Caenorhabditis elegans: one gene and its partner. The protein of the gene in region 1 purifies or fractionates together with the protein of each later gene. This does not show direct contact. Each region holds a gene or a part of one and is shown on either strand. Other genes may lie near its edges.

What was found. Proteins that work in one complex are often made in the same cells at the same time.
Region 2: the proteins of folt-2 (region 1) and lrp-1 fractionate together in Caenorhabditis elegans (co-fractionation; one large-scale study listed by BioGRID). This does not show direct contact.

The regions. Positions count from the first base shown.
Region 1 is NC_003283.11:2,870,484-2,877,958, forward strand, and holds folt-2 (Folate-like transporter 2), read right to left. Parts: upstream 5,118-7,475; 5' UTR 4,996-5,117; coding exon 4,864-4,995; intron 4,038-4,863; coding exon 3,787-4,037; intron 3,565-3,786; coding exon 3,195-3,564; intron 2,799-3,194; coding exon 2,379-2,798; intron 2,334-2,378; coding exon 2,232-2,333; 3' UTR 1,982-2,231; downstream 1-1,981. Other genes in the region: srh-243 (Serpentine Receptor, class H), read left to right, coding at 1-268, 878-1,296, 1,354-1,623; F37B4.10 (C2H2-type domain-containing protein), read right to left, coding at 5,324-5,429, 5,751-5,935, 5,993-6,382, 6,798-6,956, 7,006-7,026; str-39 (Seven TM Receptor), read right to left, coding at 7,321-7,475. UniProt on the Caenorhabditis elegans protein: Unlike folt-1, does not appear to act as a folate transporter.
Region 2 is NC_003279.8:7,611,696-7,618,529, forward strand, and holds the start of lrp-1 (Low-density lipoprotein receptor-related protein), read left to right. Parts: upstream 1-2,480; 5' UTR 2,481-2,575; coding exon 2,576-2,666; intron 2,667-4,333; coding exon 4,334-4,504; intron 4,505-4,640; coding exon 4,641-4,772; intron 4,773-4,840; coding exon 4,841-4,962; intron 4,963-5,017; coding exon 5,018-5,156; intron 5,157-5,205; coding exon 5,206-5,442; intron 5,443-5,790; coding exon 5,791-6,286; intron 6,287-6,418; coding exon 6,419-6,607; intron 6,608-6,651; coding exon 6,652-6,829; intron 6,830-6,834.

The DNA.
Region 1 (7,475 bases):
TTTGTGGCATTTTCTTGTCACATTATAACTATAATTGAAATCCCACTTTCAATATATGGTGCGTATTGCATTTTATTCCAAACTCCTGCCAAGATGAAGCCTGTGCAGTTTTTGATTCTAAATTTACACTTTTGGAATACGCTATCTGATTTGTTTCTATGCTTTATTGGTATTCCATTCTTATATTTGCCTTCAATTTCTGGGTTCGACCTGGGCTTACTTGAATCGCCAGCAGTTACATTTTACGTAGGAGTTACGCTTGTTTTAGGTTAGTTTAATAACATTCAAAAATTTTTAATGTAATGAAGTCAGGGGAGTGCTGCGATTGCCGTTCGGCAATTTTTTCGGCCGACAAATCGGCAAAGTGCCGGTTTGCCGATTTGCTGATCTGCCAAAAATTTTGTTTTTGGCAAATTGCCAATTTTCCGTATGCCGGTTTCCCGAATTGCCGTAATTTTTTATTTTTGGCAAATTGCCGATTCACCATTTGCCGGATAATATATTTGCTGGAAGTGTTTGGCGGGATTATTTTATGAGACGGAAACAATTAAAACTGCGTTTTTTTTTTTGGAATTTTTTCCCGTTTTTTAAAAGATAATTTCATAGAATTTGCTAACTTTTCGAAACAAATGTAGGAACATTCATAAGATGCATAAAATTTTGCCGATTGAAATTGAAATTCTGAAGTTTCCAAAAAATATGCAAATATACAATTTGCCGAAAATGTTTGGGCAAAATCGCCAAATTGGCAATTTGCCGGTTTATCGATTTGCCGAATATTTCAATTCCGGCAATTTGCCGACTTGCCGATTTGCCGGAAAAAATCGTTTGCCTTTTTAAAAATATAGTTTTCCACTGAATTTACACAATTTTTCAGCTATGATTGCCGCCGTCCTCTCAATTTACGAAAATCGATTTTACAAACTGTTTGCCCATAAAACCACATGGAAACATATCAGAAAAGCCTACCTCATCGCTGTCTATACTTCAATACCTTTTATATTTCTACCACCATTCCTAACTATTCCCGAGCAAGAAACTGCTCAAAGCTTTATCTTGGCTAAACTTCCTTGTTTGCCAAAATTTACATTTAACGATGAAGAGCTCTTTGTGTTGAGCATTAGTCCTGTAATACCACTACTTTGCATTGCATTTGCATCCTTATTTTTGGCTGTTCCAATTATTACATTTTTCTCGATGACACTTTATCACTTGTTAACCAAAAAAAAGTTGGTCACACTTTCCGCAAAGACATTGGCAATTCATAGAAAATTTCTCAAGTCGGTTAGTATTCAGGTGAGTATTGCTCTGTTTTAGGTGATTATATCTTTTTTAAAAGTTAATTTTTTTCAGTCAATATCTACAGCTGGAATTGTGTTGGTACCTCTTACAACTTTTATTTGCTTTATGATGTTTTGGTACCACAACCAAAAATTGAACAATTTGGGATACTTGGTCTTGTCACTACATGGAAGTGTGTCTACGATTGTAATGATATTGGTTCACAAGCCGTATCGAGATTTTACATTTTCATTGTGTTGGAAACCGCAAAGAAATTCTCCTACTATAATAGTGACAGATAAAAGCAATCAATTACAAAATTCTTTTAACGTTGTCGTATGAATGAACGTTATTACATTAGCCAAATTCACAACTTTTATTCTTTTCTCCATCTTTTCTCAATGATTATCCCTTTTGAAATTTTCATTTTTCGCACTCCATCGACAGTCGCCTGCCGGACAACGCGTGAGAAAGTCGTGCACTCCACCCGGACAAATACTTTTAGTCTTACAACTAAACCCGAGCCGTGACGCGACACGCAACGCGCCGTAAATCTACTCCAGATCTGGCCGAGCCAAAATGGCCAGAAATCCGTGAATTTTTCTCGATATTTTTACACATACACAGCAGCCGACATTTTACGAGTCTGTTATTTTAATTAATTGAAAATGCAGAAGTTCACAGAAAATGTAGACTTTATATCGCCCTCTCTGTAGTCAAATTATACTAGAAATTGTAGAAGGTCAAAACATTTTTAAAGGGATGTACTTTAATATTTTATGTTTTGATAAAAGTTCCAATTAGATCACAAAATTTGCGAAATGTAACATTAAAAACATGTGTTTTGTTCTGATATTAGAAAAAATGAGTTCCGCGTCAAAATATTTCCTCATTTCATCCATAATAGTGTTCCCAAATTTTAGATATATTATAGTATAGTTAACAAAAAATCAATTAGTACTCGTTTTGAAAAACCGCCTGCTCGCCCAAATTCCAAAAATAATAGCAAATCCAAATGCAACGACAAGATGATAACATGAATAGACCACAAACTGAAAAAAACTGTTTCTTAAATTTTTCAGATACTCAAAACAAACCTGTGGCCTAATATCCAGCTTCTGCCAATCTATGACAACAGCGGTCAGAATAGATTGAAGAAGGAGAGCAACAAATGTGTTAATCCCGAAGAGTAGGCCAAATAGTCTAGAGTCCAGGGAAAAGGCCAGTGTAGACTGAGCAATCGTAGTGGTCAACTGGTATATGACTCTATAGAATATGTAACTCAGGTATAACACCACGATATGATGAGATTGTGACATCCAAAAAAGTAGGCCGGCTTGTCCGATGGAGCCAACAGCAAGGAGAAGGTCTCCCCATCGGTTCCAATTCACGTTGAGCTGGCGGGTGATCAGGTCAGCTGGGATGCCAAGAAGTGGGACGAGGGCTTCGGTGATACCATTATAACGATTCGCAGACTCCGGAAGTGTACCCCATAAAGTTTGGGTGTAGTTTGTGACCTGGAATTTGAGAAATATATAAGGAACTTAAAGCATAAGCTTTGAGATCAAGCTTTAAGCTTTGTGTTTAAGCTTAAACCTTCAAGCTTCCAGCAAGTCTATATAATCTTATTGAGTTGTCAAAATATCATATGTTTTCTGAACATTTTCCCAAAAAATGAAGCCGAAAGTTAGCAGAATATTAAACAAGAATTTGCCGAACTAGGCCGTTTTGACTCGGCCAAGACCGGGGTAGATTTACGGCGCGTTGCATGTCGCGTAGCGGCTCGGTTTTAATTGTAAAACTAAGTGTATTTGTCCGTGTGGAGTACACGACTTTCCCACGCACTGTTCGGCAGGCGATTGTCAATGGAGCGCGAAAAATGCAATGATAATTGCCAGAACCCCGTGATGTACCTGATAAAAAATGCAACTCGAAAGAGCCGACCAAACAGACCACTTCAAAATCAGCGGATTGCGATAAATCGCCATTAAATTATGCCGCAACCCGACAAAGAACATCCTAAGGTAATCCATATAACTTGACTGATCAACGATTTCTTTTAAATTGCCTTGAACATTATTATCTTCCAGCTTCTTCTCATAAGCTTCCTTCCACTCAACACCAGGTAATATTAATGCCAGGAATACCGCAATTGTCATGGCGACCAAACTGATAATATTAAGAGTTGAATACGATGTCCAGTTAAGGCCAATGAGGAGTTGAGCTAGAGCATAAGCTAGAAATCGACCGACGAGGAGTGCTGCTCTTGTAAAAGCGGTTGCTCTGAAAATTTAGAAATTGGAAGATCTAGGTACATACTTTTAATAGAGCACGTGGTGTCCGCGTGTCCCATTTCGGTTTCATCTATGTAGATCTACAAAAAATGCGGGAGAAGAGACGAAGAGTTCTCAACTGAATTTGCATAGTTTGGACTAAAAATACCCGCATTTTTTTTAGATCAAACCATAATGGGACGCCCCTGGCACCAAGTGTACAAGACCTTACGATTTATACTCGGTTTTTGGAACTTTCACATAAATATACGCGAAATACGCAATTTCCGTTGCAGTAGCCCATCCATAGAACACTTCAAGAACTTGCTGACTCCAGACACTCTTTCCAAATACAAATATGACCCAGCACAGAAAATAGGAAAACGCTTCGAAAACTAGCAAAGGCTTATATAAAAATACATCGGTGAGTAGGAACGCTGGTATCAGGGTGATCAAGTAGCTGTACGTCCAAATAGGGTACACCTGAAATAAATTTCAACTAATAAAAAGTTAAGCATTTTTCATGAATATTTAGAAAAATTGGAATTTTGCGAAGCGCTGTATAAAGATCGTTGGAAAAAATTCGGTGTCTACTGACGGGGGTTCGAGTAAGAAAAAAAATAGTTTTTCGAAATTTTGGAAAACTTTTTTGAATTCACTAACTTTGTTTAAACAAATGTTACATGGGTGGGCGGCGAACGATTTTTTTTTGGCAAATCGGGAAATTGGCGAATTGCCGGAATTGAATGTTTCTGGCAAATCGGCAAGTTTCAGGAATTGCAAATTTCTGGCAAATCGGCAAACCGGCAAGTTGCCGATTTGCCAATTTGCCTTGAAAACGGCAATTGCCGAACAGTTTTGGCAAATTTTGGTTTTGCACATTTTTTTAGAAATTTTCTGGATTTAATTTTCAATCGGCAAAATTGTACTCATCCTTTGAATGTTCCTACATCTATTTTTAAAAGTAAGCAAATTCTATGAAAATTTTTAAAGAAGACGGGAAAATTTTCAAAAAGACTCAGTTCTAAGGGTTTCCGTCTTATAAAAAAAATCCTCTAAACATATCCGGCAAACGTCAAGCCGGCGATTTGCCGGAATTGGAAATTTCTGGCAAATAGGCAAACCGGCAATTTTCCGAAATTAAAAATTTACGGCAAATCGGCAAACCGGCAATTTGTCGATTGCTTCTAGTAATTTCTAGAAAAAATTCCCTAATGTTTTTTTTTTAAATTTTTTAAATTTTTGTATTAATAAAAACAGTAATTTACAATTTTCATAAAATTCGACAGAGTTTTTTATTCAAAATTACCTGACTATTCAAAGTCTGCTCTGACATATTCAGAACTGTATGCTGATATTCATACATGTACGGTTCGGTGGGCCGGAACTCTTTTACAGCTCCATACATACAAATCAGGACCATCACTTTCCATTGCTCCATTGTACCGGCGAAATTTTCCAGGAATTAAAAGAAAAAACCACAAAAGTGTGAAAAAAAATGTGTTAGACTATGCTGACTTTTACTGATAAGACCGATTAATGTGCAGTTTTTCGAATGATAGTATTTTTTTTGGGAATTTAGAAATTTATACTTTTTTTTTACACAGGCGCGCCTAAATTTATGACGTTTCCCCCGAAAATTAAATCAAGGCGTACAAAAAATCCAACTGATAAAATATCACTGACCAATTGATCAGACATCGAAAAATGAACGCTGAAATTGGTAAGTGAACAAATTTTATTAAACAACAAAATCTTCATAAATTAGTTTATTGGAAAGTTCCAAGTCCTCCCTCTTGTATGATCCATTGTCTGATATCGCAAAGCTCCTTCATTAGCTGAGTTTTACCGTTTGGTCTCTCTTTGCCAAATCGTCTGAAAATTTTAAAAAAATTGAACGCAGATTTTCTCAGCAAAAAAAATGTTTAAAAGCTACAAAAATTTCGAGAAAACTTCCAAATTTGTTTAACCAAAATTTAGGCTGACGCTCGCCACTGACGCCAAGCCTACGTCAAAGCCTGAGGCTAATCCGAAGTTTAGGCTTGAGCCTAAGCTTAAGCCCAAACCTAAGTCTGAGCCTGAGCTCAAGTCTGAGCCGAAGCCGAAACCAAAGCCTAAACCTTAGCCGAAGTTCAAGCCTAAGCCTAAACTTAAGCCCTTAAGCCAAATATCCCAAATTGATAATATTAAACATACCTATACCACATTTCTGCGACCCGATCCTCGCCGGGTGTATGTTTCCAGTTACAAGTGTGGAAAGATTTTTGATACTTCAAACACACAATACAGTATACAGGTTTATGTGGTCGAACAAATCCAAGCTGCTTCATCGGTTTTAGTCGATCCAGAAATTCGTCGATGATTTCGATTAGCTTTAGGGGCTGAAAATATTTACAATTAGGAAAAGTGTTGTTTATTCAAAAAATGTTCAAACTTACAGTAACTGCTGTCTGATTTTGATACTCCTGAGCATCAAATTGAGCCTGATCGTTGCCATTTTGCAAAGATGAATCTGATCCTGCATCGTTTTCAACTAGATCGGGCGAGAAACGATTTAATGGCCCATCTGCAGTACTTGGCATGCTCACCGGCATAATATTTGCTTTGATTTGCAAACTTTCGTGATCCCTTTGCTGATCTTCAAAGCCGTTAAGCTGGAGATGCTCTGGAACTCGAGCCGGTGGACAAAAGTCCGGAAGTCGTGCGGGAACTGGTGCTACATTCACAGTTGGAACCTCAACTTCGCGGACTTCTAGAACAGGTTCACGTTTGACTGCCCGCAGAGCATTGGGATTGTGTAACGACTCGCTTGTAATTTCCATGGATTCCTGAAAAAAATTATGATCAGATTTTTTTTGAAATTGTGGAAACACTAATTTTTTTCGCTAAATAACATAATACAGTCTCAATATATCAAATACACATGTTTAAAATATTTGTAGAATTTTTCTTAATTTTTCTATTTTTTTTTCAAATTTAACAATTAGAAAGTGCCCTTGATCTACCATTTGAAACATAGTTTTAAATTTTTCAGACATTTTTCCAAAAACTGACTAAAGAGTTACAAAAAACAAAAATGTTCTTTTATTTAAAAACGTCTGAAAACAAGACAAATTATGTTTTAAATAATAAATCAAAGAATAATTAATTATCGATTTTTGAGCAAGTCGCAGCAGTTTCTTGTAGGGGGAATTTTCATTTGAGCGGGAAAAAAATAAAATTTGAATTGAAAAAAAACCATACCTCTCTGGCAAGTTCTCGAGCTCTTTTCCGGTTCACTGCTCGCCGATTCATCACAAATTCTCCATATTCCAATATCATCAAGTGATTCATCATTACGTGCATATTCATATCAAGTTCTGAGCTGAATTTGTCGCCGCATCCATTCCATCCGCATTTTATCTGTAACAAAGATTTGATTTAAAAAAAACCAAAAATAGAATATACTTACATTTTGAGAACTAGAAGACATTACTAAAAATGATGTTCCAAAAGAATCGATGGTGTTCACCCTTTTTGTAAATTTCTCTAAACACTCCACCTTCTCTCTCGCGTAGCAATGGAGCGCGTTTATGACTGGTAAGTTCTGGTAAACCATACACGGTTGTGCTCCTGAATACGCAGCCGCCTTGGAATTATGTAGTGTGACGTCACATGCGGTTTGTGATACAATTTTTGCAGGAAAACATTATAAAAATGGACAGTAGACGTTCGGCAAATATTTAAGAATTTTATTTGGAATTTTTTCAAGTATACATAAACATTTTCAAATAGTTAAACATTGCGAATTCTGAACATGATTTTTCTTGCCAAAGCAATTGCAAAGTGTAGCCAGATGTTTTCTGTACTCAGTTACAATTAACATAAACAGTATACTATCGATAAATGGGTAGATCCCCAATAATGCACAAATAACTCCAG
Region 2 (6,834 bases), on another chromosome or scaffold:
AAAATTCCCGTTAAGCTACGAACATTGAACATCTTCCGCAAACCAAGTTCTCTGGATATTTGACGTTCAACTCCAGCTCCTTCCAAAAACAACCAAATTTCGATCCCTTTCCCATTTTCAACATCTTCTTCTTTTTCCCTTTTTCTTCGTTTTGTCGATTGTTTTGTAGTTGTACACACACATACAGATATCTCTGACCGATGGACACGGACAGTCCGTCTTTAACCAAACCTGTTTTCAATCTCAATCCGTCTTGTCTCGGCCCACCCGTCTGTCTTCGTTTTCTCTGTGTCTCTTGCTCTCACGCCTTCATCGTTCTGATTCCGAATCCAGTTGAAGTAGTACAAATTAAAGTTATAATTACTGTTTAAATGCACTTTCAGTGTAGAATGATGAGTACTCACGTTTTAAGTGTACTAATAGAAGTCCTAACTTAGAACCTTTCTTCAATATACTGCGATTGATCTTATTAACTCACAATATACGTAATTATGGGATATTCATTTTGGCAAGAATCATCTTCGGTTTTTTATATGATAATTCTAGATGCGAGTTCTTTGTTTATGAAACTAGAGCAAGGCTTGAATAATCGTAATATCTGTAACTTTAAAATGTCGTCTCCGTAGTTTTCGAATTTAAAATTATTATTCCTAGACCCTATTATTCTCAAATCTGTAGGTTTGTTGGTTATTTTTATAAATTAGCTTTTTATGTTTTCATTCTTTAAAAATTCAAGTTCTGAGAGATTTTGAAAAACATTTTTGTAAGTCTCAAATTTACTGTAAACTGCACAATATTCTTACGTTTAACTGTGTATATCTTTATTACCATTAACTTTAAATATGTGACTTTGCTTTAAACTACTCCAAAGTCGAAAAAACTCACAATTGGATGGAGCTTGATTCGAGAATTTGGATCCGCAGCGGCAAAAATTCTATAATTATTCTTCCCTTTGCGTCTTGATAATAAATACGGTTTCAGGTTTTTCCAAAGAAAAATAATGCATCAAAATAGCTAGTGTGAAACTTACGCCCCACCGGATCCAAATTCCTGAATGAAGCTCCGCGACTTTTTGTACCAAATTCCAGAAGTGACAGTCGACCTTTAAACGTGCTCTTTATGTTTTTCGATGCTGATTCTTCTAGACTTTATCGAAGACTGAATAAATTAATTACTATAGTTTCATTCCCCACCTGGAAAATAACGGCAGTTTTCATGTTGAGGCTTTCCATGCGCCTTTAAACGACGATTCACCATTTCCCGAGTTAATAATAATCAGAACCTATCAGAGAAAATGTATTTTTTAGTCCCATGGTCCTGATATGGTGCTTTATGTGACGTGGCATTTTCCTTGACTCCGCCTCCTCGTATCAAATTCATTAATCAGTTATATGGGGGGACGGACACAGTCAGCAGGCCTTCCGAACAGGTTGACAAGGGATAGATATGTATGGGGACGGGAGGACTATTTGGTGAGAAGAGGGGACAATTCTCGTGATGATCACCTTATTTTATCTTTTCAATTTTCCCGCCATCGATTGTTCTAGAATCCCAGAGATTTGGCGAATATTTTAGTTTTTCTCCTGAAATTGATCGAACTATAATATGATATCTCTTCTTTCTTGATTTAATTTGTCATGCGTCAAGATTATTATTCAAATCAACAGTTAAACTATTGCTACTTAAAAAATGTTATTTTTTGAAAATGACTTTAAATACCTGAATCTTGAAAACAATGTTTATTAATTCAAACTAGTTCTGCAAAAATTTCAAAATACCATATCACAAGTCTAATAGAAAATCACATGCTATCTCCTAAGTTAGTGATAAATAAAACACTTTTATTGCCAATCTCTTTCTAACCAAATTATTTTAACTGTTTTCATTTTTATTCGTATTTAACTTCGATTCAGTTCTTTTATTATTTTTATACTAATCTTCGATATTTATATCTCAGTTCGTTACTAGAAAAACCTTAAAATTTAGAAAATCAATATGTTATTTCCTCTAATAGTCGTGCATCTCATCACCTAATTTGGACATCCGAATTCTCGGGTTTTACCAAAAAATTGTCAATTCACAAAATATTGATGATTTGTTTACCTTCAATTATTTAGGAAAACAGTTATTAAATGAAGACTAATCGAGAAAATACGGTCAGATAAGAATAGCCAAAATATTATTCAATTTTTTTATCCAACCAAGAGTTGAACCGACCATTGATTTTGAAAATTTGGTAACAGTTTAAGCCAAACAGGCAACTTGGAACTTGTGAGTAAACGAAATACTTTAAGCAGTGTAAGTATGTGAGCTTCAGGCGTACCTTCATGCCTAGCATCTCTCTAATACCTGCTTACCAATTCATATCAATTTTTAAACTTTGATTAATTATGGATCTCCCCATTTGCCAGACTGCCTTCTTGAATATATTTTCCCCTTTGCCTCTAGAATCCACCAACTAAATTGTTTTTAATTTTCAGGCGCAGCCTCATAACTCCCCCGCAATCACATATATTTTATTCACAATCATCCATAATTAATCACCACCATCAAATGCTTCGAGAATAATTAAAAAATGATTCTGAGGTTGCTCATTTTCACAGCGTTGGCTGTAACAACCGCCAATTCAAGTACGCGGCAACAGTCAACGTTTCATTCAATTCAAGGTGAGAAGGTTTTGTATTTAAAATCGATAAAAGTTCTATCAAGTTAAAAACAATTCTGTTTTTTTTTCTGGTTTCAGATAAATTTTTTTATTATTATTTCAAAAATCTGTAATTTTCTTATTGCCAGGGGTAGTACTCCAAATATTTATATTCTATAATTGTAAATTGTAAGTCCGAATTCTCTGCACCATTTTATGATTGAAAATAAAAAAAGTTGCATTCTCTAAATTCTTTTAGATTGTTAAAAACTTTCTATTAAAAAGGTTTCTGTTAAGTGACAATCTTTCTGAAAGATTTGGGCTTTTGTAAAATTGGTTTAAAAAATATTTACCGTTTTCTAAAATTATGAATGGCAGAGACTGAGTATTTGCCATTTTTTGACTGGAAATTAATATTATTTTGAAAAGTTTCAATAATTTCTTGACTGGCGTTCAAATAATTTATTTCCCGTAGTTTTTTTTGTTGAAATTTGGGCCCTGCCTCCAGACATTTCAAACTTGACCTCTCTACATATCACCAAAGATAGAAGCACAAATGTTCACAAAAAAGGTGCATAAAAAACAGGAAAAGCTCAAAAGGTGTTCAAGAGTGACCTATGTGGAGCATTGCTTCGTGAGGTTCGGCGCACTTTTGTCTGCACGAGAAGCATACTCGCGCACCTCATAGCACAAATAATGTCTCTCTCTCTCTCAATTGGAATAGAGAAAAGTCTCAGAGTTAGAACAACAAACCAACAAAAGTGAACAAATATATGATAATATTCGACAAAGGAATATACACTATTAAAAACATTAATTGTTCCAAGAATTTCGAGGTTTTCATGATCTTTTCACATCTTATTTTAAAGATGGAATAGCGCCACTAGGGAAAATATTTAAAAGAATTCACAATGGTTTTTGGCAAATCAGGTCTTTTTCAAAATTTACCAGCAACATTAAAAATTATTTCCAATTCATTCAAATATTTTCCTTTTTTCTACTTTTTGTTTTGTTTCAAACAAAATTTGTCATCATATTTTTCCTCGCCTCCGAAGTTTTCAAGCGGTGTAAATTAAAGTGTGATTAGTATTTGTTTGTTGATGTGGTTACTGAATGATACAAGTTTTTTTGACCATCGTTTTTCAAACAATCATTCCAAAAAAAGTGACAAAAAAGGGAGGAAAACTGGCTTCAACCCCATAGATGACCACTACACCGTGTCAAACATTTGATTTAGTTTTAGACAGCTTTTGGTCTGCCCTTGTGATGTTTAATCTTAAGTTACAATGTCAAAAGGATAGAAAGATCGGATAGTAGGGTTTCCAGTCGTTGTTCCAGGAGTGCGCGGAAATTAAAATTATTTTGCAATTTTTCTTCCTCGTTAAAATAATTTGGAAACTGTAAAGCAAAGATTTTGAAAAATGATTCAGAAAAATCAACAAAAAGTATTTATTTTTTATGTAGAGATTTCGTTCATCTCTTTGAATTTTTAAATGTCAATAGGCTTGGTATATCACAGAACAGTTAAGTACCGTAACTTTTGGAATATTTCAGAGCTTTTTAGAAATCAATGTGATGAACAATATTTTCTGCCAAAAATGTTTAACATTTAAACGAAAACATGCAACCCCAAAAAAATGGAACAATACAAATTGACAGTAGGCTGAAAGCAATCTAAAATTTTTGCAGTTGACTCACCGCCATCAGTTCGTTCTCGAATAATATCTGCATCAGTAAACACAGCTTCATCAGTATGCAACGAGAATGACTTTAGATGTAACGATGGAAAATGTATACGTACCGAATGGAAATGTGATGGATCTGGTGATTGTTCAGATGGCGAGGATGAAAAAGATTGCCGTAAGTTTGAATATAAAAATGTTCCCAAATCTTTTGGTCTGTTTCAAAAATTCATTTCTACGAGACTAATTGCGACAATTTTTTTGCGAAAATAATAAAAGTTGTTAAATTCTCGAACCCACTCCTCAATTTTCAGCACATCCTGGCTGTAAATCTGATCAATGGCAATGTGATACCTACACATGGCACAGTGTCTCATGTATTGCCGAATATCAAAGATGTGATAACATCACTGATTGTGCAGATGGATCAGATGAAAAGGATTGTCGTGAGTTTTTTGCTTTAATGTTCAAATTGAGAAGGCTTATTTATAATAATCTGAATTAAAATTTTCAGCTGCTTCAACTGTGGACTGCAGTTCCCAAAATGTATTTATGTGTGCTGATGGGAGACAATGTTTTGATGTGTCGAAGAAATGTGATGGAAAATATGATTGTAGAGATTTAAGTGATGAAAAGGTAATTTTCAACTTAAATTAGTTATTTTTTTAGTTATTCTTAATTATTTTCTCAGGATTCTTGTTCCCGAAATCACACAGCCTGCTTCCAATATCAATTCCGTTGTGCTGATAAGACTCAATGCATTCAGAAATCATGGGTTTGTGATGGATCGAAAGATTGTGCTGATGGATCTGACGAACCTGACACTTGTGGTACATACCTGAAAATTAGAAGTTTCTTTCTGAAAATATGATATTTCAGAATTCAAAAAGTGTACGGCCAATGAATTCCAATGCAAGAATAAACGTTGTCAACCTCGAAAATTCCGTTGTGATTACTATGATGATTGTGGTGATAACTCGGATGAAGATGAATGTGGAGAATACAGATGTCCACCTGGAAAATGGAATTGTCCTGGTACTGGGCATTGTATTGATCAATTGAAACTTTGTGATGGATCAAAGGATTGTGCTGATGGAGCTGATGAGCAACAGTGTTGTAAGTTTTTCAATTTAAATAAAATGAAGTAGGTAGGCTTGAAGTAGGCACTACGCAGGCATGTAGGCAGGCATGGAAAGACTAGGTATGAATTAGGCGTAAAGTAGGTAGGTACAAGGTAGAAGTAGGTACATCATAAATGTTCCACAATTTTTTAGTCGATTGCCAATATTATCTTTGTTTTTTTCAAAAAACGGTTTCAACAAAAATATAAGTTCTAACTGCCTAATTTTCTATTGCATAAAATGCCATTTGCCGAAAGATCGCGCGTCCAAAGATCAGTAACGTCTTTTTTATCACTGAAATCCCATTAAATAAACTACCGATTAAAAATGTATATGATTGCAGCGCAAAACCTGTGCCCATCACTTGGTTGTCAAGCAGGTTGCCATCCATCACCACATGGAGGTGAATGTACGTGCCCAAGTGGATATAAACTCGATGATCGTTTCCATAGAACATGTTCTGATATCAACGAATGCGCTGAATTTGGATATTGTGATCAATTATGTGCAAATCATCGTCCAGGCTTCACATGCTCATGTCTTGGAGACTGTTTTACACTTCAAATGGAACATGGTCCAGGAAAAGATAACCTGACAATGAGAGGATATTGTGTATCAAATAATGCTGATAAAATGAAACTTTTCGTTGCAAGAAGAGAGGGTCTCTACAGATTAAATCCTAAAAATCCAGATGAAGAAGTCAAGAAATTGGCTTCTGGAGAATTCATTTATGGTATTGACTTTGATTATGGAGATCGTAAAATCTTCTGGACTGATCGTCTTGCTCATTCTGCATTCAGTGCTGATGTTGATGATGAGGGAGAAATTTCACAAATCAAGTTAGTTTTTTTCTACCAAATTTAACTTAAATTTTGAAACAAATTTATTAGAAATATCCCAATTTTTAATTTGAATTCAGCAAATATACTTTGTGGCTTTCGAGAAACTTGAACTTACGTTGTATATTTCAGAAAGTTGAGCTTGAAATCTCTTGTCTATCCACGTTGCCTTGCCGTTGATTGGATTACAAATACCCTTTACATCATTGAGTCTGGATCAAGAAGAATTGATGTATCATCATATGATGGAGAACGAAGAACAGTTCTTCTTGCTGATGGCCTTACACTTCCACTTGATATTGCTCTTGATCCACTCAGAGGGTATGTTTTATTCTAAACGGTCAAATTTTACTCTGTAATTTCAGAGAAATGTTCTTCACAAATCAGCTCAAACTTGAAGCAGCTGCAATGGATGGAACAAATCGTCGAACATTAGTGAACACACATACTCATCAAGTATCTGGAATTGTTGTGGATATAACTGCAAAGAGGGTTTACTGGGTTGATCCTAAAGTTGATCGACTTGAAAGTATTGATTATCAGGTACG